Linked DNA regions of Rhinolophus ferrumequinum. The protein of the gene in region 1 purifies or fractionates together with the protein of each later gene. This does not show direct contact. Links are inferred from orthologs where the notes say so. Each region holds a gene or a part of one and is shown in the gene's direction. Other genes may lie near its edges.

Region 1 (7,025 bases):
CGAAGGCCGGGGACTCGAAGTCGGGCGGCAGCGGCAGCGAGTCGGACCACACAACCCGCAGCAGCCTGCGGGGGCCGCGGGAGCGGGCCCCCAGCGAGCGCTCGGGGCCTGCCGCCAGCGAGCATAGCCACCGCAGCCACCACTCGCTGGCCAGCAGCCTGCGCAGCCACCACACGCACCCGAGCTACGGCCCCCCTGGCGTGCCCCCTCTCTACGGCCCTCCCATGCTGATGATGCCCCCACCGCCCGCGGCCATGGGGCCCCCAGGAGCCCCTCCTGGCCGCGACCTGGCCTCTGTGCCCCCCGAACTGACCGCCAGCAGACAGTCCTTCCGCATGGCCATGGGAAACCCCAGTGAGTTCTTTGTGGATGTGATGTGAGCAGGGCCCCTCCCCCACTTCCATCCCACCCCTACCCTGGCTGGCTGCGTCCCTCTCTCCATCCTTCCTTCCGTCTTTTTTACTTTGTCTGGTACCTAAAAGGGAAATAAACAGAACTAAATCCAGGCGCGCTAACTGCTCGCTGGGCTCAGTGAGGGCGGGCGCATCCACCGATCGTCCCTGCAGCCCCTAACCTGTCATGGCCCCAGCTTGGCCCTCTGCCCACTAACCGCTACACAGGACTTCCCAGGATCCTTCATGTCCCTGGGACCCGACTCGCTGGTGCTGTTCCCTACTCCCTTCTCTGCATACACTTCAGGAGTCGACCTCAGCAGTGCCCTTGAGGACCTGCTCGGCCCCTTGTCCCCACCTCTCCCCACTCAGTTTCACCATTCATCCACCTACATCATCCCTCTGTTACCCTCATCCCCTTAAGCATGTGTGCCAATCTCTTGACTTTTCCCCACAATACTGACACCAAAAAAATCTTGCTTCGTCTGTTCTTCCTCCTAACTGTCCCCTGCCTGCTGCTTGTACCCTAGAACTGGGGTCACCTCCGGTAACTCCCTGCCTGTGCTGGGCCCTTACCAGGAGCCCAGAGGGCCCGCAGGTGCCTGATCTGCTAGTGGCTTCAAGGGAGCATCTCCGCTCTACCCCACCACCATCCATCCCACCGTGCCTGCATTTGTGTGCTGGTTCCTTCAGACCCCTAACCCTACTAACCAGCAGGCTCATCTCACCTCTGGGCCTGAAACATTTCTTCTCTTTCTTTTTTCCTCCCCCAATTTTTCCTGGGCCTGGAGCAGCCAAGAATTTCGGGCTGTTTGACTTTCTGTGAGCCCCCAGCGAGGGGAGGCCCAGCCTCCGAGGAGACCAGGAACCCTGCTTCAGCAGCCCCTCAGGGCTTCCCAAGGATATTCAGCCCCTATACCCATACTTCAACATGTTGAGTCACTAGGCTTCTGGGGAGGGCCCCAGCCACTTGCCCATGTACGACTCTATTCGCCTTTCCAGAGAGTGTGTGCGTGCTCTCTATTTCTCTTTCTCTTTCTTTCACACGTGCACGCGCGTGCACATGCCTATGCAAAGTCCACTTAAGCTTTAGGGCTGGTCCCTGCCCAGAGGGCTAGACCCTTTCTTCCATTCCTCTCCCAGGTGGTAGGGCTGGTCCCGATTTACCTCCACCCTTCCTCCCCTCCCTCGTAGTCCTCAAGCCTCCCGTGCACGTCCTCCTCATCTTCCTACCTGGATAAAGCATAAGCTGGGTCTCAGGCTAGGCTCAGCAGAGGACTCCCCAGACAACTGACAGGCTGTTCTCACCATGCCTACTGCTGCACAAACCTTTCATGTTTTCACAATCACCATGATACCCCAGAGCAGTAGGGCAGGGGGACTTCTGGGACTTCCAGACAGTGCCAGGTTTTATTTTTTTAGCTTACTTTTAGTTTAAACAAATCACGACTTTCTCTTTAAGTCTCTCCTATAAATTCTCCTGGCTCACCTAGGCTCCCCTAGTCAAAACTGGGATGTCAAGAGTGAAATGAAGTACTAAGCTCCAGGTTTTGGGGTAAACCCGGGTAGGGGCATTTTGGCATTCACTCATTTCAACAAATACTTCCTGGGGTTTTTAGTGAGTGAGGGTTGTGTTGGAAGTCTGACTCCGTCTTGCCTGCCTTCTGGAAGCTCTGGGTTTGTTCCCAGCCAAGACCACGGCTTCCTCTAGCCACCACTATAGGGCTGCCTCCTGTACTTCTTTCTTCTCTGACTGCTTTGTCTAACTCTCTTGAGAATTCCTCTACTATTGCTCATGTCTTCGGTGCTGGTGCTCCCAGTGTTCATTACATTTCTTTCCTATTTACTCCCCAAATGGTGTCATCAATCCTAATGTCCTCAACTGCCACTGACACACTGATGATTCTCATATATATACATCTCCAGCCCCCATTTCCCTCCAACCTTTAGATCTGTATTTTTATAACCCACTAGACATCTCCATGGACATGTCCATACGGACTCAACTCATTTCCCCCTCCACCTCCTGACTTCCCACCCTGGTTACCTTCATCACAATCTACATAGGCTCACCAGCTAGAAACATTTATGGGCTTAAATTCTTTCCCATCTCTTACTAGTCAGCAGATCATATCCATTCTACTCCAACATTTCTTGAATTGGGCCCTTCTTCTCCCTCTGCCTCTACTCTAGTTCACAGGTGCATGAGATTTGGAGTCAGATTGTTCTGGGTTTAAATCCCAGCTCTACTACTTTTTGGTTGTGTGATAAGAGAGTTATTTCATCTCTCTGAGCCTCAGTTCCCTCACATGTAAAATGATGATAATAATACCTACCTCACAGGGTTGTTGTGAGGATTTAAATTAGATATTGTACGAAAAGTGCCTAGCACAGTGCCTGGCACACAGTAGAATAGGTGCTCAATAAATGGTAGCTATTACTATTATTATTATTATTATTATTATTATTATTTACTCTAAATTGGTAAGGGCTTAGGATAAGTATTGAAGATAAAGCTTTTGGAAAGGTAGGGATGAAGCCTTGAGTGCTGGTTCAGGGATCAGAACTGTCTGTATTCCGTCACTTAATGGCTTCCAGCTATAACCATGATTTGAATGAAGGAGGCCAAATCTTTATCTCGCCACATTCTGGCTTCTGGAAAGAGGATGCTAGGGACAGTAAGCTTGCAAGGTTTGCCCTTTCTTGCCCTTCCATCTTCCTCCAATGATGGTCTCAGCCCTAACTAGGGAAGGCATCACGGTCTCTCTCCCTACAGAAAGAGAAGAGCCAACAAATTTTCTTCAGGTCCTGCAAGAGCCAGTCAGGCCTTTCATGTTCAAGGATTGGCTCTCTCTTTTCCTCTTGGCTTGGATATGAAGTTTGACACTGTTCATCAGAAGGGATTTCAAATCCCACGTCCAATTAAATTAAACTCACCAGCGGTTTTCTAAGCAACATATATGCCTCACTGGAAGGCACACAGGTTGTGGCCTTGAGCTGACAGTCACATAGGTATAGCTGAAGTAGAACATGCACGTATTCTTGGAAAGCTTTAGCAAGTTTCGTCCAAGTACTTGCCTCATTACCCACCGTCCCCTTCCTTGAGTCTTGATCCCTGGGAACCGGCTCATGTCTAGTACAAATATATGCTGGGAAAAAAAACTTGGTAGAATCAGAGGTGATGTTAGAAAGCAGTAAATTCAGCACAAATACTTCTACTGCCAAGCTGTGTGTTGTGTATAAAGTGAGGACAGCCAGTCCTCGGACTCTGGAGACAGAAGAGGCCTGCAGCAATCCAAGGCTTAACAGATGGGCTTCAACAAATGGCCCTTGAACTCGAGGCATTCATAAAACACCAAAATAGGAAGGGGAGGGACTGCAATTACCAGAATACTCAGTGGGGAAAATGAAGTGAGCGTGAGCAGCGTATGCTGGGATGTGTATTTCGGGTAGGGCTGGATAAGGCCACTCCTACCCTTCTTGTCGAAGGTTCTCGAAGGCATTCGGTAGTTGTAGTTTTGCTAAACTTGGAGAGCTTAAAATTGTAAGCGTGAAGTCTGAGGGTCTGACGGGATTTGTAGTCCGCGCGGGAGTCGGACGCGCACGCGCACGCGCAGCTGAGGCCGGGGCGGGGCCGGGGCACTGCGGCGAAAGCAGAGGCAGCGGGCAGGCAAGCAGGGGGCGGGCGGACATCTTGGAATACGGAGAGTGGCCGGGCGGGCGGAGCAGGGGGTCCGCGGACATCAGGTGAGTTCGAGATCTGGCCTTACGGGGTGAGGCAGGTCGCCTGCCCCGCTGCCCGGCTTTGCCCTTCCCTGCACTGCGCTACGCGGAAAGCTGTCCACACCCAGGAGTGGCCTCAGCCTTCAGATCTCGGAGGGAGCTGAAGGCGGGGCGGGGGCGCCCGGGGCGCAGTTGCAGGGCAGGCGGGGAGCGGCGCCCTCCACCTGACCCGCCCGGCGCCTCCCGTGAGAGGGAGACCCACTGGAATCCTCCCAGATCCGGGGCGCCACGCGGCTCCCCCCTCCATGGGATCGTGACAACACCCCTACCCCTCGGCGCCTCCTCTCAGCGCAAGGACAATTTCCCAAGCCCCCAGGACAGTGACACCCCCTTGTGCCGCCTCCTTGGAGTGTGACAAGGCTCCCACCCTGCGGCACCCCTTCCTCCCAGTTGACAGACACCCGCGGCTTTTATTCCTCAGACCTGTGACAGCCCCGCACCCCGTGGAATCATTTTCTTTTTTTTCTGCGACGTCTTCCTACCCAGGGGAAAAGCCCACCACCTCCTCATACCTCTACACCTGAACCCCAAAGCAGGCTCTGTCACCCCATTGTTCCCTTATTCACCACTGCCAGTTTCCCCCACCTCTTCAAAGCCCTGACCTTTGCCATACTGAAACTTTCCTCCAGGTGCCCCCACCAGCCCCGCTGCTGCTGTGGTACACATGTGCCCACCTGAGGGTACTGCCTGGCGTTGCTGCCAGGCTTTTCCTTAACTAAATATTCCATTCCTGTCCGGGGCCTCCCCTCTGCTTCTCTGTGCCAGAGCTGCCTACCACTTGATACCTGTGAACCTTTGCCCAGGGCTCCACCTCCATTTTGCCTTTCCTCTCCCAGCCTCTTTGGCGCTGAGAAATGGGATGTGTCCACCACCTTGACAGACCTCTCACTGAGTCTGGGAGACTTTGATAGCCACACGAATAGGATTTATTTTACAGTTTAGAAAAGTCTGCTAAACTCCCCCTGTGCAATTAATACCAGGGCTAACCCAGGAAATCTAGAACTAAATTAACCCTTTTTGTTCATGCAAACAGTCTTAGTTTGACCCAAATAATTTGGATAAATCAGGCATCCTGTCCCTTGCTTGTAGGCACTCAGGCCAGGAGTGAGTTGTATTGTGGGTCTGGAATCACAGAATTTCAGCTGGAAGGATCTCTTAATTTTATGTACCTTCGTCTCGCCTCCCGGCTTATTTTTATTGTACTTGGGAGCTAAGAGAGAGCCTCCCGTTTTTGAAAGAGGGGGTGGTCGAAAATAACTAATAAGCAGCTTGGGTCATTGAAGTTAGTAGGCCAGGGCTGAGGCCTTTCCCTTCTGCTCTTTTGCCTACTTATCAGACTGCCTGGCAGAGCCTAAGGCCTCCCTTCTTTCCTCCTCCCCACCACCCTGCACACCTTTTCTTGGAATGTTTAGACTTCTGTGAATTAGAGAGCCAGAAGTTCAGGCCCTGCCTCCTTCCCAGAAGGGTACTAGAGCCTGAGACTGCTTCTAAAGCTGTGCCTGGGGGCCCCAGGCCTGAACCTACTGAGTAATTCCTACCGCCATTCCTGCAGCCGCAGGCAGGCCTTAGCAGTGACTCACTGGTGGGAGCCTAAGTGAGTCTGCACAGGAAGGAGCTGAAAAGGATCCATGCTGAGCTCGGCTCTGTGAAAAGGGGAAAGGGGCTACTATGTGGGCTCAGCCCCAGGAAAGGGAGGGTTAAAATGGCCTTAGAATCCTGGGCCCAAGTCCCTCACCATTTCTTCCTCCTTTCCAGTGTGGGATAAACAGGAACTGGAGCCTGGCTAAGGGGAGGGGCATGCCTGGGAGGGCTGCAGGGACACTTACTGGAGAGTTGAGTCAGGGAAAAAAGCCCAGACTGTGACCTGCACAGCCCCACAGGGGACGCAGGAAGGGTTTATGAGGCCTTCCCTTACCCTGTCCCTGCTTATCCTAGGTCTTTTCTCAGAACGATGGGCCTCGCAGACTGAGCTGCCGCCATGATTGGAGGTTTATTCATCTATAATCACAAGGGGGAGGTGCTCATCTCCCGGGTCTACCGAGATGACATCGGGTGAGTCCCCTGGCTGAGCCAGCTGTGCCCCCACCTTCCCAGCCCTCCTCCCCAGCATGCAGGGCCAGGTCTGTTCCTATCAGGCTTGACTTGACCACTCCCACCCCCTGCTGCATCATGGAAGCTCAGCCAGTACAGCCTGACTCCCATGAGGTCTGGTGGTACTGGCCTGGCAGCCAGTTGCTGGCCACTAGACGGGACCTGTGGAATGGCGTGGTCTCCGAAGTCTTAGGAGCTCTGGCCTTTCCGGCCTCCTGTTTCCCTTAGTGGGAGACCTGGTAGCTGGAGATGAGTGCTTTCGCCTGGTCAGGTTGATTCCTCCTTTGAGGAAGAGGGAGATCTGTTTCCAGTGGGTGGAGTTAGTGGCCAGGCTGGAGGTACTAATCCATCTAAGTCTTGCTGTCAAAAGCCTTTCTCACGGTGAGAGCCCTCACTGGATTCTTTTTTTCTTTTTTCATTAAAGTTTATTGGGGTGACAATTGTTAGTAACATGACATAGATTTCAGGTGTACAGTTCTGTATTACACCATCTGTATGTCACATTGTGTGTGGGTTCTCTCACAAGCCTCTCCAGGCTGCCTAATCCTCTCCCGTTCTCACTCCCTTTCTCAGAAGGAGGCAGGCTGCTGACTTAGCTGTTTCAGTTCCTCTCGGCCATTTCTGGGGGAGAGGTTGTGAGCAAGCCTGAGGCAGCCTCCGGGTCACTGAGGGGCAGGTGGAAGGGCAGGGAGGCCATGCTGCCCTTTCTGGCCTATCCGAGTAGACCTGGAATCGCTCCTTATTCTGGGTCCCTCAAAC
Region 2 (8,015 bases), on another chromosome or scaffold:
GCTTGGCGGGGAAGGAGATTGCTGTTCCCTGAACTGGGTACCAGGAACTGGGTGCCCCAGTTACCGTGGATGTCCCAACACTTCTTGGACTTCCCAGGCTCATTTGAAAGCAACTTGCAGGACTGACTGATTTTAAAGAAACAAGGATGGGACTTTGCACCTAAAGGAGAACGAAACCAATTTACTGTGGATCCTTCTTGGCATATAATGGTGTCCATATTAAAGCAATAAAATGACTTGAGTGGGAAACAATGAGTCAGAAGCTCTGTTTTGTTTCTGGATGGTGCATCTTCTCCAGTGGCGTCGGTTTTGTCTTCCCTAAATGGCAGCATGGCACCATTTCCTCAGTTAGTGTTTGACTTGGTTGCAGGCTCATACCTGGTGAGATTTTTTTCACTCAAAAAGTTCCAACATAATACAGAATCATTTACAAACCAAGTGTAACTACACTACAAAAAAGAAAATATAACCTAAATATGACATAAAGCATCTCCGGTGGTACTTCAGGCTGCCTCTTTAAAAAAAGTCTCTAAAGCAAAGAAGGAACTTGGCCAAGCCTCATATCCTCTTTGGTCTTTACTTTGAAGGAACATAGAGTAGATTTCCCCATGTTCTTGGTAGGAGGTCAAAGAGTGTAAGGAGTTGGCTGTTAGAATCTTAAGTTTTACATCAGGATTTTGTCATAACTGAAGGATTAATTCCTAAACCATTTTCTCAGGCCAGGATAAATGGTGATTAGGGACCATGCTTAAAAGAAATGTGAAAATGCTTTTTGCAAAAGCATTACATAAATGACAGAGGGACTAATTTCTCCCTGACTTTCAGGCTTATTTATAGATTCGTCACTCAAATGGTAACAAAACAGGCCAGTGGAACTGCCTCTTTGACTCACGACACTGCATTTCCTATAGGGTTGCGTCTCCTTTCTCTACTGAGATCTCTGGCACATGGAGAGCAGGAAGAGTTCCCTGTGGAAGATGCTGACCATATTTCCACAGAGAGGGCTTTCCCCATCTGCTGTAAAGGTCATATGGCTTCAGCTGATGATACTGAGTCATTTAAGAACCCCTCTGCATCTAAGTCCAAGAGAGATGGTTCCCTCCGCCCCCCATTGCTCCCCCCACCTTCCTCCTCAGGACCACAGAGTCCAACTGCATGCCATGTCTTCCAAAAGCCCTCTTTCACTGCTGTAGCTCCTAGTGATCTCTCACTTTTCTGCTTTTTTGGGAACTCAGATGTATCTGCTGAGTAATAATATCACTGATTTTTTTGGATTTGGGGAGTTTTTAAAAATCTGGTTTTCCTCAATGAGATTATAATTATCTGGAAAGTATGGATAGTCAGTCCCTTTTGAAATGCCTGTTATAGATTCTGTACACCCAGAACAGCATGATGTAGTTGAAAGAGTCAGGCAACATGTTTGGTGAATGGTTACTATATGCGCCAAAAGATATATTCAAAGTTGAAAGGTTTAGATTGGAGTCTGGTCTTTGCTGTACGTAGGTGTGACAAATCATTTCATTTCTCTGAGCTTCTGTTTTCTCATCTCTAAAATCGGGATAATAAAATTTATCCTAAAAAGAGATAATATTTGTTGAGCCCTTACTATATATCAGCTGTTGTCGTAATATTAATACTTTAAATGTATCAGCTCATTTAATTAACACACCAGCCTTAAGATGCCAATGCTACTATTAACTCCATTTTACAGATGGGGACACTGAGGTTCAGAAATGCTCAGAAATGTTAAGTAACTTGCTGAAGGTCACACAATAAAGAGAGGAAGAGCAGTTTTAAACCCAGGCAATTTAACACCAGAAACCAACACTTTTAACTATTCTATAATGCCTGTATGCTTTACAAACTCATGGTGGGTGAGAAGCAAATGAATCAATGCATATGAATACACTTTTGTAAATTGTAAAACATAATGCACTACTGTTACTTGTAGTGGGCAATCAATAAATGCTTTAGTTGAATTGTCAGGTGGCACAAAAAAGTTTTATACTTATATTCTCATGACGTTTGATACTTTTCAAAGTGCTTTCACACATTTGATCTCTCTGCATAATAGCTGCTTTGAATCCATTTTGGAATAAGGCTAGTCATAAATAAATACTGGCCAGCTGAGGAAATAGGCCCCAAGATGGTAAGTACTTTGCTCAGGGAACAAAGTGAGTTAAACCCAGCCAGGATGGGCATCCAAGTGGTCTCACTCCTGGCCAAAAACTGAAGTTTTGTTTGTTGTTATTATTTGTTAAATTGAACTGTACAAGGTATCAGTAATAAACAAGACCATAAAAATAATGATCTTTTCTCTCAGCCATTATCTCTTCCTAGAAATTTGTTTAATACTTTCAGGCTGTTGCTATTTTAAAAACAAAAATCTCTTTTAGCATTTGGATCCATAAAACTGCATTATCTTATAAGGTCTTTCTTTTTCAAAATGTAAAACATTTTTTTCAAATAAAAGTACAGTATGCTCCTTGCAAAAACAAAACATAGTAAAGTAAAAAATCCTCTAAATTCCACCATCCAAAGATAATCATCTTTAGATTTTAGTATTATCCTTTAACTGTTTTCCTATGTATATACAGTACACACTTTTTACAAGCTCATTTTATAATAATGTTTTGTAATGTTTCTAAAAATCTGTGAAACCATAATAACCTCCATTTTTATTGGCAGAATAGTGTTTCATTTTATTGATGTGTTGTAATTTATTTATCTGAAATTAGGGATTATGTTTGAGTAGATGGTGATTAAGTCTTCCCAAATTTCAATTGCTAGCCACAGAAACCAAAGATTCCAGGATAATGATGACCATGCTACATACTTGGTCAATTGCTTTTAGTTTTCAGTTACATTGAAGGAGGGGTTTGGTAATTATAAAGATAAATATAAGTTAAAAAAAATACATGAAGCGGGTTTGCCTTTTATAATGTCTGTCATTTTCTCTTTCATGCTCTATCATTGGCATGGTAGAAAACAGCTCCATCCTCTTTCTTAAGAAGATGGCTTAACTTTTCTTTTGCTGTTTGCGATGGTAAACATTTAAATTCAACCTCTAAGCAAATTTTGTCACGTTGCAAATGGAATACTTTAGCTAACTGCTTTGTAAATTCCTTACTTTTTTTTTTAAACCCCACTGCCCACCCTATAAATTCCTTACTTTTATGGGAGCCTCAAACTGTAGTACTTTAGCATGTGTTCATGCATAGCTATACCTCAGAGGAATCCATGTCAAGGCATCATTACGGTGTTCCAGTTTTGCACTACTATAGTCAGCCCTTGCTATCTGTGGGGGATTGGTTCCAGGACTCCCACGAATACCCAAATTCAAGGGTGCTAAAATCCTTTATATAAAATGGTGTCATATTTGCATATAACTTAAGCACATCCTTCTGTATGGTTTAAATAATCTCTAGATTACTTATAATACCTAATACAATGTAAATAGTAGTTATATTATTTATGGAATAATGACAAAGTCTGTACATATTCAGTACAGATGTCTGACTACATAGTACACATCAGCGACAATGTAACATTTTTCCCCCAAATATATTCTAGCTGTGGTTGGTTGACTCCTCCTAGAAGCAACTAGAGGATACTGAGGGCCGACTGTATTTAGGGCTGCACTGTGATCCAGGGATGCACTGTACAATAGTTGCATGGAGGGGATACAAGGTGACTGAATTCCATAAGCATTTTACTCCCCAAACCATTTGCCCTTGGTTGATTCCACCCTAAGTGTGGGTATGGGTGTGGGTGGGTGTGTGCCGTTTTCTAATTTGCAAGGTGGCATGGTATAGCAGAACCCCATGGGGGATGGGGAGAGTCTTTCACTAAGTCAGTTTCTCTGTGCCGCAATCTTCTTATTTGTAAAACTAAATTACATATGCCTGTCTAGTCTGACTCAGAAGATTGTTGGAAGATTAGATTATACATACAAAAATGCTTTTGATAAACAGTGTGGTATCAATATTTAATAAAAAATAATTACTATTATTATGCCCTTGATCTTTTTCTCCCCCCCAGCCGCTTGGCATGCCTCAGTAGTTCAAGAACAAAATTGTACAGGTGGGCCTATTCAGTTCAATTTTTGTAAAATCTTTTGAAATTCTGGCATAAGAATGGCTAAGAGGAAAAGTGTAACCTTTCTACTGTGTTTCCCCGAAAATAAGACCTAACCGGAATATAAGCCGTGGCATGATTTTTCAGGTTGACATCCCCTGAACCTAAGCCCTAATGCATCTTTTGGAGCAAAAATTAATATGAGACCTGGTCTTATTTTCACGGAAACACAGACCGACAAGTCCTAAAATCAAGATTTGTGGTTAGTTCAGTTCTCTTTGGCATCTACCCAGGTACTGTGCTTTATTCACTTTGGGAGGTTCACTTTATTGCCAATCTATCTGAAGGATTTTAGTTTAGGTAGGTCACCTTTCCTTTAAATGGGTCAAGCTATCATGGCCCTCTTTACGTTTACATGGAAAATATTCGTATCAGGTGTTAGTAATTATTTATCAAGCCAGGAACTGTCTGGTTAGCCTGTCTTTGGCTCCGTTCATTAGTTCATGGAGTCAGTCAGAAAGCCTACTCTGCAAGGATTTTAATTGTCACTAGTCCAAATCCTCTCAGTTTATATATGAGGAAACTGAGGCCCTGAGAGTTTAAATGACTTGTCCAACGCAGATGGTTGAGCGGTGGTACTGGGCTTGGAATCCATTCTTCGTGTCATCCTCCAACTCTTTTTGTAAAGTATGTTGCAAAGATGCCATAAAACCACAGAATCCAAGACCACCTGCTTCGCCTCTCGCACTTCCTTCGCTACCATCTTGCGAGCCCCGCCCTCTTCAGGTGACTAGGTCGCTTCCTGGTAGCCTAGGCGCCCCCAAGCGGAACCAATGTCGGTCGGCTGCTGGGTCAGCCGGATCTTTCTCGCTCAGACTCTCCGCAGCGGTGACTCGGCAGCAGCGTCTCGCGTCATCAGTGACAGCCCCGATTCATGCTACGCTTTGCGTCGCTCTGCCAGGCGCAGTCACCTCCTCCTTGGCAAATAGTCCTCGGCGAGGTTCGAGTTCTTGGATAATTAGAGAGGGGAGGCACGAGAAGTTAAAGTCAGAGGACGCGGAATCGACAAGGAGAGGAAGATAGGGACCGAAGTTTTTCGATAGTGTGTGAGCTTAGTTAAAAACTCCCCGCTTCCTAAGGATCCCTCCGCCTGCAGTAGCGGTGGTGAGGCCGAGGGAGCCGCCATTTTGGATGTTCGGTTCCTGCTGCCACTGCTGCCGCCGCCCCCGGAGCTGCTGGTCTCATTCGAGGTTTCGGGCCGGTGAGTGTCACTCGCGGCGCTAAGAATATATTGCTGCTTTTGCCCCACGCTTGCCGGTAGCTCTTGGCCGGAAGCTTCCTGTCAATCCCAGGGGTCCGGTCCCAGGCTGTGGGGGGGTGAGAAGAGAGGACAGAGGCTGGGCCAGGAGGGGCCCGGAGCCCCAAGGACTGCTCCGACTTCTTGCCGACCGACCCCCGAGGCCTCGGACCGGGAGGCACCGCGCGCGGTTGCATTCTGTGCTGTGGCGTTGCTCGGTCGCTGCGGGCTTCCTTGGACCCGTTGACTTTCTCAGGCTTCGATCCTCATTTGAGGGCTCATTCGGGGAGCCTGGGGTTAGCCGGGCGGGTCCCACCCCCGCGTGTCTTCTTGAGCCACGTATCAGCGTTCTTGTATCTTATACCCGGGTCAGGTCTTTCCTAGAACTTTTCAGAATTTCCAAATGCTAAGTTAATTCCAGTCTGCACCTGCAGTGTTGTCTTCTCAGAACCGGACATCGGCCTCGCCTCCCTTTAATCTTCCGAGCAACTTCTTTCCCAATTTTCCGGGTTTTTTTTGGTTTGTTTTTTGTTTTTAAACTCACCTTCCAGTACACTGCTTACCCTTCTCTCAAACTCCTGATCGTGCGTACATCAGTTTCTAATAATTCTCCCTATCTTCCCGACTGCCTGAAAGAGTTGGGACGCTTGGTTATGTTTCCCTGTTAGGAGATCCGTCGAAACACTCGCCCAGAGTGTCCTTAAGCAGTAAACGTTCATAAACCCCATTAAATGGCTTTTGGGAGGGGTGGTAGGGATAGGCTGTCAAGTGTTTTCTCATTTGTGTGTTACTTTCCTTTGCTGAACACTTAGCTTTTTGGTTCTTATTGACACTGTTTTTCTTGGTGTTTTATATCCCTAGGCATGGAAATCTGCCTGTGAAGAATCTTAATCTGATGTAGGTAGAAAGGAAAGTAACTTTTTTTGCTGCTGTAGGGATTAGTTAACAGAAGAGAGGAGTGAAAGAATATTTCTTAGTGAACTTAACTTTCAGGTGTTTTGTACAGTAATCATCTTTGTCGACGGATTCTAAAAAATACTTGGATTGACTTCTGTATTGGATTTTTCTGGATTTTTAAATACTTCTGTTCCTCGTAATATTTGTCAGACTGTATACACCTTAACTTTTGGTTTAAAAATAAAGACTCTCCAGGTACCCATAATCTCACCACTTGTATTCTACTCTTAACATATGTTTGCAGTGTAGCATGCTTGAATAAAAAGCATTTTACAGTAATTCACTGCTTATTTTCTACATTTCAAATTAGGTGAGTGATTGTATCACCTCTATTTCATCTTAGCCTGGGTTTTTACATCTGCAAAAGAGAAATGACTTATTTGAGATTACAGCCTAGTAACTGCTGAACTTAAAATTTATAACTTGAACTGGACCAAATATTCTAATACTTCTAATTCATGTCTAAGTGCATTAGTCTTATTATCAGGTAGGTACATTCCTGTACTGATCATATCGTGTATTAGTAGAAGACTGAATGTTTTCATTGTAAATAGTGTTCTTGTTATTTAAGACTTCTCAAAAATAGGCGTATTTACTCTGAAGCTGTGGAGTTTCTCTTTGTTTAAAGGAACTCTAAACCAAGTCTTTTACCAAAAGAGTTTGGTCAAACGTGGAGCATCTATGGAATGCTCACTCGTTTATTATTGGAAGAGTTATCAGATAGGTGTCATTTAATTCGGTTCATTTCATAACACAATGTACTGATATTTAAATGTCATTCAAAACTATTTACTAATGGTTTGCATTCAGTTGGAGAAAGTGTCTTTCTGCCTTACAAATTATAAGCAAAGTGCTGTTTAGTGCACTGTAGATTGATCAGCATAGACCTGAGCATCTATTTTATCTAAAGTTGTTGGGATTATACTTGAATGAAATTAACATTATTGTTTAGAAAACCTCAGTTAATTTTTGGGGGGAGCAGTTGCTTGTTCTTTAATCTGTTTCTTTGACAGCAGTTCTAGATTTGAGGGTGAATTTTAGAGTGAAACTAATGTACAGATATTGTCAGCAATGCCTTGGTAATAGTTCATCCTACTATTTTTAAAAGTAGTCTTGAAATCAGTGGTGTATAAAAACAAAAATCCAGGTTTTTGTGATTTATAAAAACTTTTTATGCAAATTGAAAAAGTTGAACAAGTATTTTCCAAAACATTATTTTTTTAAAAAAATTGAATTGTGGGGTGGCCAGATGGCTCAGTTGGTTAGAGTGCAAGCTCTCAACAACAAGGATGCCGGTTCAATTCCCGCATGGGATGGTGGGTTGCGCCTCCTGCAAATAAAGATTGAAAACGGGTAACTGGACTTGGAGCTGAGCTGCACCCTCCATAGCTGGATTGAAGGACAGCGACTTGGAGCTGATGGGCCCTGGAGAAACACACTGTTCCCAATAAAATAAAATAAATGAAAGTATAATTACTAATATCAAATAAAATATTTTTTAAAAAATTGAATTGGGAAACTACTTACCAAAACAGATTTTTGAAATGCTTAAATCCCGTTATTTGCATTCGATGAGGAATTTAAAATTTTGTGTATACAGAAGGACTTAATTGATAACAAATCTTTAAAATTTTTATTTAGATTTAGCTTCAGAAAATCTAAAAGTATTTTCTTCAAACTGCAG
Region 3 (6,988 bases), on another chromosome or scaffold:
GGGCTATATTTATGAAACCAGCAGCTTGGAAGCATGAGCTCCAGATTACCATTACAATTGCAGTATAATTTTTTTTTTTTTGGTAGCTTAGCACCATTTATATGGAAGGCCGTTCTTAAAGTCTCATGCAAATAAATTAGTTCTTTGTATATTCAGAGAGATCCCCACAGTTGGTTGTGGTTTTTTTTTTTTCATAGTTCCAATCAATCATCCTGCATTTCTAAATGCTGGCATCACAGATGTGCAGTGTTCAGGAAGAGCTGATACAACAGTCCCCTCCAAAAGTCAGAAAGTAAAGAAACACAAATCACTGTGGTTTCCCTTAAGGATGGGTTGGCGAGGGGGAGTAGGAGTTAGAGTAGGATAGAAACATGGGATGATAGGCTGATGACAAAACTGTTCATGCTCTAAGTTCTCCTCTTCAGGATCATCTTGGGTTTAGGGTTCTTATAAATCCGGAGCCTCATCTTCCGGTTTCCATGGTTAGAAGCACCATTTTATCAAGTCTCCTCGGGTGTGAGTAATGTCTGCAGGACACCAGCAACATGCCCTAGTAAAAAGTACATTTGAGTCAGAAGGCCTGTATATAATTCACTATGAATTTGGACAAATTCCTCTTCTGTAAAATAAAATTAATAATCCTATAGGGTTGTCATGAGGATTCAATGAAATAATATGAAAGCAGCAATTGTCGGTTCTCACTATCCAGATTGAAGTCATCATACACAGCTTTATTTACCTAGGGAACATTTACTTTTCTGATGACAGGGGTATGTGTATCAGCTGTTCAAGGCAATGTGTCTGCAAAATTGACTTAGTAATTGCAGGATTGTCTGAGGGGTAGAGAGTTAAATGGTGAAGTGGTCTTAAAAAAATGGTATGCTTATAGCTAGTACCACTTATTGGACATCTATTCCAGTCCAGGCTCTTGGATAGGATGTTTATGCATGTTTTCTAATCCTTGCACCATCCCTACAAGGTAGATATTATCTCCAATGTACACATTAGGAATGTGAGATTTAGAGACCCAGAGAAATTAAGTGGCCCTAGAAAAAACACGTAAGCCCTTTTTGTCTGCTCCATGAAGCTCATTCTTGTTACACTGAATTAGATAATAACATATCTTCCATTAGCTACATTATACTCTCCTAAAATAGATTTGGGATATGACCCAGTGCTTTGATGAGATCTGGGACACGCATTTGCAAACTATCATTGGCGTATCGTTCTAAAAAATCCAGTCCCAGAAGTTCTAGATTTTTTTTTTTTTTTTTAGTTTAGACCATCACTCCCACCCCCCACTACATGTCAAGTTTTTAATTTAAACCAGAACCAATGAGCAGAGAAGGAAACGAGTACAAATTATTGGTGGTCTGGAAGGGGCCTGGAGCAATTCTAATATAATGATTTTTAACTAGTCTTCCTTTGCTGAGAGGTCTAATTATCATTACTGTCATTTTAACCAAGGCCCAAACCTGATTTAAGCAATCCTTATTTAAACAAGTTATTTAGAAAAATCTTTGTTCCATGGTTTTCTTATCTTTAAAATGGGGATAAAATTAGGATCCAAATAATAACTGCACAAGACTATGCATTCAGTTCAGTTCAACAAACTTTAATCATGTGTGTATTTAACTCCGGGAGTTGTGCTACATGCTGTAAAAACATTTATAAACTGTGATATTGTATACATTTGTCTTGTTTTTTTACTTAATATCAATCACAGAATAATTATAATGATAATGCCTTATATTTCCTCAATATTTTCCACATTGATTTGCATGAGAAAATGAGGCTCAAACACTTTTTTATACATGAGAAAACTTTTTTATACATGAGAAAATCAGGTCACACACTAAATGACTCCAATATTCTCTTTACTTCCCCACATTGCTTTTCTAGGAAACTATACACTGGGACTCTATTCACCCTAAAGTATCAATTTCTTCCATGACTTTCAGATTTCTTAGTGAAATTTGTGTATCTATGTCTTTAGGTATTTTCACAGATGTTGTTTTATTCATCCTCACAACAATCTTAAGTTTGTACAACTAGAAATGGTAGAGCTAGCATTGGAACGTGGGTGCTTCTGATGTCCAAGCCCTGTTTATTCCACTATGCTATACTGCTTTGGTTATGAGCTGTCTAACCTTGTGCAAATCACTTGACCTCTTTGGCCTTTAGTTACCTCACCTGTAAAGTGGGTATGGTGATTACTACCTTTCAGAGTTGGGAAGCTCAAATATCTTAATGTAAAATAGAAAACTCAAGTAGAAACATCAGTTGTTGTTATAGCTGATAGAGGTACCAAGGTGGAGTAATTTAAAACAGTATCTCCCCTTCTCCCTTGAGTTAAAAAGAATAACAGCAAAAGGAGGTTAAGGGAGATTCTCTTGAGTAAGCAGTTGTTCACCAGACCTGTATGGCTTATTCTTCATGGCTGGACCTTGTAAAAAGGGGTCTGAACAGAGCCAGGAGTTTCTGGGGGGCATTTCTGGGATGGTTTGCCTGTAGTGACAAAGGACTAAAAACCTAGCTGGGTTTTAACTCAGTCCTGGGTTTAGTTGGCTCTCCTGGTGGGTCAAATGGCGACTGCTGTGATAATGGTTACAGAGGTGTGGGTTTGATAGAGTTGCGGTTTATTGTTGTGGGAACCCACCATGACTGAGAAAGGGAGACCAATTCTGGGTAAAAAACATTTATTGAGGCTTCCTTGGTGCCAGACTACACTGTGAGGGGAATATAGTAGTCAGTCGGCATCCTGTCCTCAAGGATTTCACAGTCTGGTGGGGTACAGAAAAGCACGCAACTACCTTTTAGAAACAAGGCATACCAAGTATAATAAGGAACATATCAGAGCAACTAAGACATGGGGTGGGATTTCCTAGAAGGCTTCTTTAAGTAGGGAGCGTATAAGCCAAACCTTTAAAGCGGAGGCCTTCAAGTAACTGGTTGGTTTTTCTAATTGAAGATGGCAGCATGAGAAAGTGTAGGATGTTTTATGTTTAATATAGGCAGGAACCATGGGCTTTATTAAGTACATACTATTTGCTAGGGTCTGAGGATCTAGAAGTACATCAGAAACAGTACTTGTCCTCAAGGAACTCTCAGTCTAGAGGGGTAGACAGATGTAAACAGTCACCAGGGTGATGATGACTTCATAAGGTAGAGAAAAAAGGTTAAAAAGAAAAGCAGGTGTAAGTCTGACTTGGGGAGGCTAGCAGATGCTTTGCAAAGGAGTTGATACTTGAGTTGTGTCATGAGAAAGTAGGAGGAGTTTGCCAGGTGGACTATGGGAGGTTTTAGGAGGGCTGTAGGCAACTGAATAAGTCCCAGTGCTCTTTCATTGAACAGTCTAAGGATGGCAGGCAGCAAGCATGCAAGAAAAGTATTCCTTCCCCCTCTCTTCTAGGTTTTGACTCCTGGAGGGAATGACTTAAGTTTTCTTTTTCAATATCACACCCTAATAGCAGATGGTTAAATGAAAGGTTTTGGAGTCGGACCTGAATCCTATTCTAGCTATATAATCAGGTGTATGACCTTTGGTATGACACTAGTGTTTCAGTTTCCTCATTTATACGAGTACAACTTATGTCTCAATTCCTTCATTAATACAATTCAAAAATAAAGCACCTAGCACAGATTCTGGCATATATAAAGTACTGTTACTATTTTCTATCATTATCTTACTTAGTCCTCACAAGCAGCCTGGACTTTGGGTATAATTTCCCCCTTTTTTCAGAAGCAGAAACTTAGAGTAGGTAGGTGACCCGCCTAAAATTCACAGCCCGTCCGCCTTAATTTCGTATCCGCGCCGGGTTTTTCCAGGCCACTCCGGATTCAAGCTCCGGCCGGGCAGCTTAAAATCCAGCGCCAGGATTTGGGTACCACCGCGGCCTGCGCGGGGCGGGCGGGGCAGGCGAGAGGAGGGAAGTTGTCGAAGTTAGGGGAGACGCCCGCCAGCCCGCCCGCCCGGGCCTCGCCTCCGGCCGCTCCCTCCGCCTCCTCCCCGCCCCGAGCCCCCGTCCGCCCGTCCTTCCTTCCCCTCCCGTGCATGATGGAAACACCATGGCTGCGGCGGCCCAGCTCTCCCTGACACAGGTAACACCACCCGCCCATCCGCCGGGCTCGATCGGTCGGTTTCCCCGGCCGGCCCCCTCCCCCACCGCCCTGTGGTTCACCGACCCGGGCAGTTTCTCTCGGCCCCGGGAGAGGTGGCCGATAGTGAGAGCGAGAGCGTGTGCGCCGGAGGGAGGGCGCCATCCCCAGTCCGGTGCTCCGCCGCGGCAGCCGCGACCCCACCCGGGGTGGGTCGGCGCCCCTGGCCCCACTCCACGCGGCGCCCCAGCTAAGTGCACCGTGCCCCCTCCCCGCCTTAGTCGGTGCTGGGTCCCTCTCCCCCCACTCAGCTTTCCCCCACCCAGGAAGTTTCCTCCTTCCAGGCCAGACCGTCCCAGGTGAGCTCCTGTTGAGCTCGCGCGGATCGCCCAGGGCAGCCCTCGGCCCGCTCGAGGCTCACCCTGTGGGTTAGGCAGCGCGCTTCCCCCAGTTAGAGTCACCTTCCCAAGTCGGACGCTCAAGGCATCTGGGCTCGCTAAACCGGCCTTTTCCCCCTGGATTCCAACGAAAGCCCTCCCTTCCCCAACAGTTTTCTCCAGTCAGTCTCTGTTCCAAATGTCTTATCCGACCCGCGTGCTTACCCTGCTAGCCCCTTCCTGAGTTCAGCCTCTTCCCCTCTTGATCAGGTTTCGTACTGGGTCAGACCCCCGGTTAGTCCTTTCCTCCTCACGTCTGTTACCATTCCTATCTCCTGTCCAAGCGGGTAGCAGGGAAACATCCTTTAACAGGTGTGGTGGTTCCACCAGTCTTGGTGCTGGGAACGGCCATAGAGAACACCTGTCCTGGGGGAATTTTCACCAATACCGGTTCTCAGGGTCTTTCCTCTTGCTTTTCTGCTTCCTTCAGAGCCCCAGTCCTTGTGCTTCCCAGAAAACTTCTCAACATCACTGACTCTGGCAGCCTCATTCTTCCCTCTCTGTAAAGAAAGTCAGTTGTAATCTTGCCATGATGTCCAGGATAATGAGGTGACATGCACCTGTCAGTACCTTCCCACTCCTTTGACCAAAACTTATCCCGGTCTCACCTTATCAGCATGTTGTCTCCAGAGCTGGTGGCCAGGTCGGTTCCCCTTGGCACCCACCCCAACCTTCCTGCCTGCCTTTTAGTATCTCCCTGCCACCTTGTAGTCTCCTTGGCCTGGATTTTTCGTGCTTCATAGGCGTTAACACTGGGATAGGGTATACGTTTGGGCTGGAGAGTTTTCATTGCTGGGATCAAGAGGTTTTGGGATGTTTTGCTTACCCCACTGTAAGATAGACTGAGTGAAAAGTTGTTCTCCCCTGGAACCAGGAATCTCACATAAACGTACCTGGAGTAAAATAACCCCAGTTTGCAAGAATTACTACTCATAAGTGAATGTTTGTTTCCTAGTTTGTTTGGTGTTGCTTATCCTATTTTGACAAGCAGATAATGGGGAAGAATCCTTGGAATGTGGTGACTTAGTTTTGGTGGTGAATCTCTTTGGAGGGATCCTCCTGACACTCAAATTTGAAGAATGGCAAGATTGACTTTTGGGTGTTCACTCTTTTATGAGTCTAGTTAGTCACTTGCATTAAACAAGATCCTGTTGGCAGGCTGGTGTTCTCTGGCTCAGTTGGTCAATTCGGGTAGGAGTTTTTCCCCTCTTGAAGATTTTGTTCCCTCGAAGGCCTTTGTAGGTTTACTTCTTAGCTGTATGCCTGCCTACTTTATTCTCTCCCTGGGGAATACAATGCTTTTAGTTTCTATTTACTAGCATTCATCTCTGAAGGTTTTCTTCAGGCTCTGTCAGTTTTATAGACATATAGACAGTTAAATAATTGAAATATGTCCTTATGGTTACATATTTAAATATTAACATGTATACAGAGTACATACTGAAGCAGGAGTATTATACTTCATTGTCTCAAATGCTAGGACATACATTGGTGGTTCATTTATATTGACAATTCAAATAAGTCAATTTAGAATATTTTGATTTTAAGACATTAAAAGGAAGTAAGATATATTGTAAAGGCACGGGAAAAAGAACTTTTCCCAAGTGTTAATATACCCTAATATGTGCCTCCTTGTTATTTTAAAACTGCTGATTTGTGTTTTTTTAATTTAATTTTTTAAGTGCTGGAGGTACTAAACTGGGATAACAATGCAACCTAGTTTCACATTCAGTATAGATATGTTTATGTCAACCCCTCCCCCCAAAATATCTCTGTCTTCTCTCTCTCTCTCTCTCTCTCTCTCTCTCTCTCTCTCTCTCTCTCTCTCTCTCTCTCTCTCTCTCTCTCTCCTCTCGCTGATATAGGCATACTCAAGTGAGAGAGATCCTCCAGGGCAGGGAATATCTTTTAATTCATCTGTCCTCTCTCAGTGCCCATCTGGAAGAAAGTGATTAATAACTGTCTTATGAATGACGGGAAATTCTAAAGGGCTCTATAACAGTTACAAAGATTAAACATGCTGAAGTTAGTTTCTTCCTCTGGTCATGAGATAATAATGGCTTTGGAATAGGTTCATTTATTCAACAAATATTTGTTAAGTACCTATTATGTTCTAGGCACTCTTCTGGGATTGTTTAGTTTATAATTTTTTTTTGCCTTTATCAGTTAAGCAAAACCGAAAGTTGGGTGGAAAATGTGAAAAATGTTTTGATGTACTCCTTTCTCCCTCTTCCCCTTCCTGCCAACCAACTCTCCAACTTCTCAACTACCAAAATAAATTATCTAAATTATCATATTCTAGCTTATAGAGAGAATACTGGAGTAATGAAATGTTAGTTCCAGTCCTAGCGCTGCCAAGAGCTACCTGTATGGCATTTAGTTAAGTCTCTAGGCCTCAGTTTTCTTAACTTTAATATTTATTCAACAAGTGTTTGTTGAGCATTCACTATATG
Region 4 (7,651 bases), on another chromosome or scaffold:
AGCATTCCCGCACCGGGGGTGGATGACCCATCTGGAGAAACCTCCCCCAGCCAGACCCCTCAAACACGCCCCCCATTGTTCACGCTCTCCACCTCAGAAAGCGCAGTCTCAACCTCAGAATTCTCAGGCCCCAATATTCCACAAGCTGAAGTTTGAAGGGGGCAGAGGCTCCAGAGGGGATCCAGCCCCCCCGTCTCCGTTCCCATTGGAAGCTTACAAACTGGGAATCTGGACAAGAAGGGGAAGAGCCCAACCCTAGCAGAAAGGCATGGAATCTGAGGACAGACTTGAGGGGGGTGGGTGGCCAATATAGACTGTGCCCCCTTTTCAGGACACTTGGTTCCCTTTTTTTTCACAGCTTTATCGAGATTTAATTCACATACCATACAACTCACCCATTTAAAGTATACAATTCAATGGCTTTTCGTATATTCAGAGAATTTTACAATCACCACCCTTAGCACATTTTTTGTCACCCCGAAAAGAAAGCCCACACCGCTTAGCCATCCCCTCATCTCACGTACCCCACCCCCCGCCCGAGGCAACCACCAATCTACTTTCTGTCTCATAGATTTGCCTATGCTGGACATTTCATGTAAATGGAATCATACACTATGTGGTCCGTGGTGACTGGCTTCTTTCATTTAGCAAAGTGTTTTCAAGGCTCATCCATGTTGTAGCTTGTATCAGCCCTTCATTCCTTTTTATGGCCCATATACCACATTTTGTATATCCATTCATCAGTTGCTAGACATTTGAGTTGTTTCCACTTATTGGCTATTATGAATAATGCTTCTATGAATATTTGTGTACAAATTTTTGTGTGAACATGTTTTCATTTCTCTTGTACATATATACGAGCAGTGGACTTGCTGGGTCATATGGTAACTCTATGTTTAGCCTCTTGAGTAATTACCAGACTGTTTTTCAAAGTGGCTGCATCATTTTACATTCCTCCAAGCAGTGTATGAGGGTTCCAATTTTTCCACATTCTCACCAAGACTTGTTATTATCCAACTTTTAAAAATAATTCCAGCCATCCTAGAATTATGTGTTCATGTGAAGTGGTATCTCACTGTGGTTTTAATTTGCATTTCCCTAATGACTAATGGTGTTGAGCATCTTTTCATGTGCTTCTTGCCATTTGTATATCTTCCTTGGAAAAATGTCTATTCAGGTCCGTGGTCCATATATAAATTGGGTATTTGTCTTTTTATTATTGAATGGTAAGTGTTCTTTGTATATTCTAGATGCAAGTCTTTTGTCAGATACATAATTTGCAATATTTTCCTCACGTTATGTGAATTGTATTTTCCATTTTTTGTCCTTTGAAACACAAAAGTTTTCAATTTTGTTAAAGTCCCATTTATCTACTTTTTCTTTTGCTTTTTTTTTTGCTGCTTATGTTTTTAGTGTCATATTTAAGAATCCATTAGATTCTTTTTATTATAACATAAATCCAAGGTCATGGAGATTTATGTCTATGCTTTATTCTAAGAGTTGTATAGTTTTAGCTTTTACATTTAGGTCTATTATCCATTTTGAATTAATTTTTGTATATGGTGTGAGGTAGGGGTCCAACTTCATTCTTTTGCATGTGGATATATCATCCGAGAATCATTTGAAAAGACTATTCTTTCTCTACTGAATTTTCTTAGCATGTTTACGAACAGTCAACTGACTGTAAATGTGAGAGTTTATTTCTGGATTCTCAATTCTGTTCCATTGATCTATATGTCTATCCTTATGCCAGTAATACATTGTCTTGATTAATGTAGCTCATTAGTAAGTTTTGAGATCTGGAAGTGTAAGTCCTCTAACTTTGTTCTTTTTTTTTTTAATTAAAGTATAATTGACATACAATATAATATTTGTTTCAGGTAATTCGACATATTTCCTATGATGTGATCACAATAAGTCTAGTAACCATCTGTCACCATACAAAGTTATTAAAATAATATTTATTATTTCCCCTATGCTGTACATTACATCTATGAGAATTTTTTTCTTAATAACTGGAGGTTTGTACCCCTTATGCCCCTTCACTCTTTTCACCCATACCCCACCCCCCTCCCCTCTGGCAACCATCAGTTTGTTCTCTGTATCTATGAGTCTGTTTCTGTTTTATTTGTTTGTTTTGTATTTTCAGATTCCACACGTCAACTTTGTTCTTTTTCAAAATTGTTTTGGTATCGAGTGCTCTTTTATAAGTATTTTCCCCATCTGAGAAATGGGTGAACTTCTCTTATAAAATGTTTGTGATGGTAGGAAAACACAACAGAGAAAGATGATAAGTGACCTATAATATATATGTCTGGAGGCCACCAAGGAAAACTGCTCACATCCAACCCCCGCTCCCCTTGGCCCTGGACCAACAAGAAAACAGCTGGATAAATCACAGAGAGATTTTACAACCCCGCTCACCTCCTCACACATAAGATGGGCTCTCTCTGAGCCTATTCTCTGCCTGTTGGGTTGAATTGAATTCTTTTGGTAAATACTGTAGTTAACCTGGGAGTAGATGGTAGGTTCAGTTATTCTTAGCAACAGAGGTTTAGGAACGCATTTAGGGAATGTCCAGCCATGTGGTTGGGTTTTGAGAATAAGGCAAGGGGACTGTCTGACCTCCAACTAGAAGGCACTGTAGTTTCCCTGGGCTTGTCACTGTTTCAGTGGCCTTCATTACACAATGAGGATAACAATCCTTGCCCTGTCTACCTCACAGGGATTATTGTCAAGGTAACCTCTTCCAGAGAGCCATCCCTGACTGCCCCCAGGTTGCGTGGGTTTCTCTTCTCTTCACTCCTACAGGCCCCTGTGAGTTTCCTCCATCATAACACTTTTCACTCTGCATTGCAAATGACTCTTTTCTTCTCTGTCTCCTCTCTGGTCTGTGAGCTCCATGAAGGCAGAGCAGGGTCAGCCTTATCTCTGTGGCCCTAGCACCCAGCACCTGGCATCTGGTAGGTACTCACTCAATGCCCATCTTTGTTAGACTGAACTGAACTGAAAGTGCTCTGAACACATTGTAAGGCCTGGCTGCCCCTGGCACAGAGTGATGATCCCCTTTGAGGCTGATGAGAGAAAGGTTTTCTACCTGTGGCAGCCACATGGCAAGGCCCAGAAGAGTCACTGAGGGTCACCTCCCCACTGCTTGGCTTCCAGAGCGGAAATGATGGAACTCGGTGCTGATGGTAGACGCTACCCCAAAGCTGGTCCTAGGTGCTCTCCAAGATGGAAGTTTCTCTGACTCAGTGGGTCCAGGTGCTTTCCTTCTGTGATACTTGATTTTCCCATGTTGTTCAGCACATGTAAGGAATCAGAGTATGAAAGAGAAAACACAGTGGCCCATTCCCAAATTGCCCCTTGGCCTTGGAATGCAGCCAACTGAAAACACACACTGTCGGGGACAGAGTCCCAGAGAGCAGTTTCCAGGCTCTGGGGCTTGCGTGGGGAGGTGCTGGCTCGGGTAGTGAATGACCATCAACTGTGATTAGTTGGCCATCAGCTGTAACCGGTTAGCCAATTGGCTACTGATGTAACTGCAGGGCTGCGTTGATTGGTTGGTTGGTTGGCAGGCAGAGAAGTGAATGGCGGACTGTGGGTCATGTGGCTACTACTGCGTGTGTCTTCCCAGCCTTCAGTGAGACTATAGTGGCATGACTCCCCTACCTATGGCTCCGTGGGTGTTCCTTCTTGGCCTCACCATATCCTGCGTTCTTATGTGGGGAGCGGGACCAGAGGCCCCGCAGGCTGCCCCGCACGACAGACACACACACACACACACACACACACACACACACTCACTCATTTACTCTTTCACTGCGCACTTACTCTGTGCCAGGACACTAAATACAGCAGTCTACAGGTGGCAGGGACGGGGCCCTACATTGAAGCTCACAGTCTAGTGGGAAAACAGACATATAAACTGACCGGTGAGAATATAAGGGGATAAGATTTGTCTGTGTGGGAGTGTGTCCTCACCTCCGTCTTAATACCTCTCCCCCTCTATCATCTAAGGGGAGTTCTCTCTTTGCCCCTCCAGGACTTTAGCAAGATGAGAGTCAGGATCAAAGAACTGGGAGGAAGAAATATCATTTTCTGGGTCATTTCTCAATTTCTTCTTTAATGTGCAGAAGCAGGGTAATGAGCAAAGTTGAAATTAGAAGTTATGCCAATTCACATAATGAGAGATTAACTTCACACTCTCCTGGATGACTATGACCAAAGATAGAAAATAAGTATTGGTGAAGTTGAGGAAAATTGGAACCCTTGTTCGCCGCTGGTGAGAATGTAAAACGGTGGAGCCGGAGTGGAAAACAGTTTGGGGGCTTCTCCTAAAGCTAAACATAGAAATGTCATATGGCTCAGCGAGTCCACTCCTAGATACATACTCAAGAGAACTGAAAACAAGAACTCGAACAGGTATTTGTACTCTGCCGCGCACGAGGCCTTGTGGGAGGGGGAAGCCCCTGGAGAACCCCAGTCCTCATCAGGGGGATTCCTGGGTCCGACCGCCGTATGTCTTGAGCCAGGGCTTCCAGCAGAGGGCGCCGGAGCGATGTGGTGCTGAGGTCCCGAGCTGCCGCTCTAGCCTGACCCAGGTCATAGAGTCGCGCCGCTTCCGGCACCCCCGCTCCAGGCTGGGAAGGAGCCGGAAGTCTGGCGGGCTCCGGGCATCGCAATGGAGGAGGGCGAGTACGAGTCGGTGCTCTGCGTCAAGCCAGAAGTGCACATCTACCGCATCCCGCCACGGGCCACCAACCGTGGCTACAGGTGACTGCCCACCACCGGGCCAGGCTAGCCCCAACTTAATCCCTTCCCCGCCGCCCGGCACGCCCACTGTTGGGAGCTGAGGATGGTTACGGCCAGCTTAGGGGCGAGGGGAGGTAATGCTCAGGTTTCTCTCGGTTCTTGGTCAGAGCTGGAAGGGAAGCCCAGAATTTTGGCCGTCTAGGTCCAACGCACCGAGCTCCCGGCTGCGGGAAAGGCGTTAAAGCCGTGTCTAGTGTTTGGGGACCCGGTGGGCTGCCAGGTACCCTAAACGTGGTCGGGAGTGGTGGTGTCACAGACTTTTTTCTTTCAGAGCTAGCTGGTGGCCTTGAAGGGATCCTTGAAAAGCCTTAGGGGGGAGGGGACCTATCACAGGCGGAAATCCCGGAGGGGAAGGAAGGGAGCCCAGAACCGGCCGAAAGGACAGGTCCCGGGGGCTTTTAAGCTGATGGCGGAAGCCCAGGGAGCCCTCCCTGTCCAGCTCCCTTCGTGTGAACTTGATACTTTATCGCTGCCTGTGGCAGTTGGGAGGAATCCATCCACACTTCTCTGGAGAAATGTTCCTGAGACGAATAAACACATATACTCGTAGACTATCTGGAAGGGAACGGGGGTTGAAAGGGGCTTACTTTCACTGTGTACCTTTTTGTACTGTTTGCGTTTTGTTACCGTGTGTATGTATTACTTATCAAAAGAAGACGAAAAATAATTAAAAGAAAAAAAGATTACCTGATACAGACAACCTGGCCTATGGCTATTTTGTGCCACTGGGCGGGGGGTGGGGGTGGGGTGGGGGGTGGTAAGGCGGGGGTGTGCTCTTGAAGGGAGTATTTGTTCAAGTTATTTGGAAATACAGGACTGGCCTGCAAAAGGATGGTGGAGTGTGGACAGATCTCTCCTCTTGTTAATTTCCAGTTGTGTTAATGGGATCATAGCTGATTGGGTAATGAACCCATATTTTGTTGAACACCTGCTGCATCCGTAACATGATTTAAAAATAGCACAAAAATAGTATAAAAGTAGCAAAAACACATTTGCTTTCTGTCATCACTGGAGATGGACCACCAAACCAGTGATGGTTGTCTACCCTCATCCCCTTTCAGTAGGATGGGTTTGACGCCTCTTGGACCCCCAGAGAGCAAGATTACCAAGTGTCAGGACTGGCCGGTTTGGCATAGAGGAAGCTGTCCTTCAATCTCAGAGCTCAGAGTCTAAGGCCTGTCGCCCCAGTAAGAGGAACTGAAACAGCCTGCTGACTTCTGACTTGTGAATTGAGAATCTGCATTTGGGTGGCCTTCCAAACAACCTACATCCACAGTTATAGTGTGTCCCATATGCTTGGGACTTCCAAGAAAAGCTTCTTGGAAACACCCAAAGTTCTTGCTATTAGGGGATTTTACTGAGCGGCTTCTTAGAACTAAAATGTGAAGTTACTGCTTTAAAAGAGCCAAAAGAGGGTATTGCAATAGGTCCATGGTTTCCTGGGTTCCTTTCTGCTTTTCTGCCTAGGATACCTTTGAGAATGTTTCTTAAACACCCGTTCACTTTTCTCGTGTACTGTTGCTCTCCTTTTCTCTGCTAATGATTGCTCCCCTCTCTGCTTTTCCTCCACGATGGTGTCAGTGGTCCCAAATGATCACTGACCACACCAGCCTAGCACTGTCTTCAACAAACAACAAGCCCCAGGAGCTGCTTCCTCTATAGAAATAAAACTGGAATTCCTACTTCAGAGAAGATCTCTAGACTCGTAATCTAGAACTGGGGTCAGCAAACGACGTTCCACTGTTTTTGTATGGCTCACAAGCTAAGACTGGTTTTTATGTTTTTAAGTGTTTGGAGAAATTTTTAAAGAAGACATTTCATGAAGTGAAAATTACATGAAATTCAAATTTTGGTTCATAGTTTCACTGACATACAGCCACACTCTGTAGAAACCATTCGTTTAAAATACTTAAAGCACCAACACACTTACGTACAGCCTTTGACTGCTCTCACTACAATGGCAGAGTGAGTGTTTGTGACAGATTGTGTCGCCGTTTTCAGAGAAGTTCGCCAGTCTCTAGCGCAAGCCTTCCACATGCCCTTCCCATCCTCATCCTCAGCATAGAAGGGAGCCTCCAGCAGAGGCTCAATGGTTTTTGTCCCCTTAGGGCTGCGGAGTGGCAGCTGGACCAGCCATCATGGAGTGGCCGGCTGCGGATCACTGCAAGAGGGCAGGTGGCCTACATCAAGCTGGAGGACAGGACCACAGGTAAAGGCAAGGGAAGTCTGTGTGTGTGGGGCTGAGGTGCCATGCCACTCTGTGAAGGGAGAGGCAGCCCTGGCCTGGCCAGGCCACTGCGGGGTCATGGGAACCTGTCCTGGAAATTAAAAACCCCAGTGTGTACCTTTAAGACCCCAGTGAACCATCCTCCCCACCTTTGGTTGTAGTAACCAGTATCCCCAGATGTTAAAGGCAGTATTTCCTGTCAAGCACTTTTTCTTTTGGAGGGCCCTTAAGAAAATACTAATTTTGGAGTCTAAGGAGAGGAGATCTGTAGGTTGGTCCCAAAAGGGAAGCCCCGGAGCTTGTCTTGAGACGAGCTGGGTGAAGACGCACAGCCCTCTGCTGTGGAGCTCTGGTTCTCACTCAGGAATTCTGTTTATCAGCTAAGTGGTAACTCCCCAGACTGACCACGCCCGTTAACTGAAAGAGCTGGAAACTGGCCGACTCAGCTTTTTCTTTGGTGAGATGAGCTAAGCTGGGCAGTGTTGGGGTCAGCCAGCAGACGCACGTTAGGGGAAATCTCTCCAGAAGTCCTGTGCCACCTGTGCCTCTGGGTGAGCTGCAGAGGGCAGCCCGGCCCCCAGAGCAGGGATTGGGCACAGTGCCTGCCCG

The links.
Region 2: the proteins of AP2M1 (region 1) and AP1G1 purify together in Homo sapiens (affinity purification with mass spectrometry; 3 studies listed by BioGRID and IntAct, counting the BioPlex papers as one, with this or other methods). This does not show direct contact. The link is inferred for Rhinolophus ferrumequinum from reciprocal best matches to the Homo sapiens genes AP2M1 and AP1G1.
Region 3: the proteins of AP2M1 (region 1) and EPS15 purify together in Homo sapiens (affinity purification with mass spectrometry; 4 studies listed by BioGRID and IntAct, counting the BioPlex papers as one, with this or other methods). This does not show direct contact. The link is inferred for Rhinolophus ferrumequinum from reciprocal best matches to the Homo sapiens genes AP2M1 and EPS15.
Region 4: the proteins of AP2M1 (region 1) and NECAP2 purify together in Homo sapiens (affinity purification with mass spectrometry; 4 studies listed by BioGRID and IntAct, counting the BioPlex papers as one, with this or other methods). This does not show direct contact. The link is inferred for Rhinolophus ferrumequinum from reciprocal best matches to the Homo sapiens genes AP2M1 and NECAP2.

What each region holds. Positions count from the first base shown.
Region 1 is NC_046285.1:60,945,396-60,952,420, reverse strand, and holds the start of AP2M1 (AP-2 complex subunit mu), read left to right. Parts: upstream 1-4,010; 5' UTR 4,011-4,139; intron 4,140-6,110; 5' UTR 6,111-6,153; coding exon 6,154-6,227; intron 6,228-7,025. Other genes in the region: DVL3 (segment polarity protein dishevelled homolog DVL-3), read left to right, coding at 1-354, 1,187-1,218.
Region 2 is NC_046298.1:20,876,468-20,884,482, forward strand, and holds the start of AP1G1 (AP-1 complex subunit gamma-1), read left to right. Parts: upstream 1-5,007; 5' UTR 5,008-5,338; intron 5,339-8,015. UniProt on the Homo sapiens protein: Subunit of clathrin-associated adaptor protein complex 1 that plays a role in protein sorting in the late-Golgi/trans-Golgi network (TGN) and/or endosomes.
Region 3 is NC_046292.1:36,801,390-36,808,377, reverse strand, and holds the start of EPS15 (epidermal growth factor receptor substrate 15), read left to right. Parts: upstream 1-3,973; 5' UTR 3,974-4,068; coding exon 4,069-4,101; intron 4,102-6,988. UniProt on the Homo sapiens protein: Involved in cell growth regulation. May be involved in the regulation of mitogenic signals and control of cell proliferation. Involved in the internalization of ligand-inducible receptors of the receptor tyrosine kinase (RTK) type, in particular EGFR.
Region 4 is NC_046292.1:11,052,295-11,059,945, forward strand, and holds the start of NECAP2 (adaptin ear-binding coat-associated protein 2), read left to right. Parts: upstream 1-4,631; 5' UTR 4,632-4,684; coding exon 4,685-4,776; intron 4,777-6,923; coding exon 6,924-7,024; intron 7,025-7,651. UniProt on the Homo sapiens protein: Involved in endocytosis.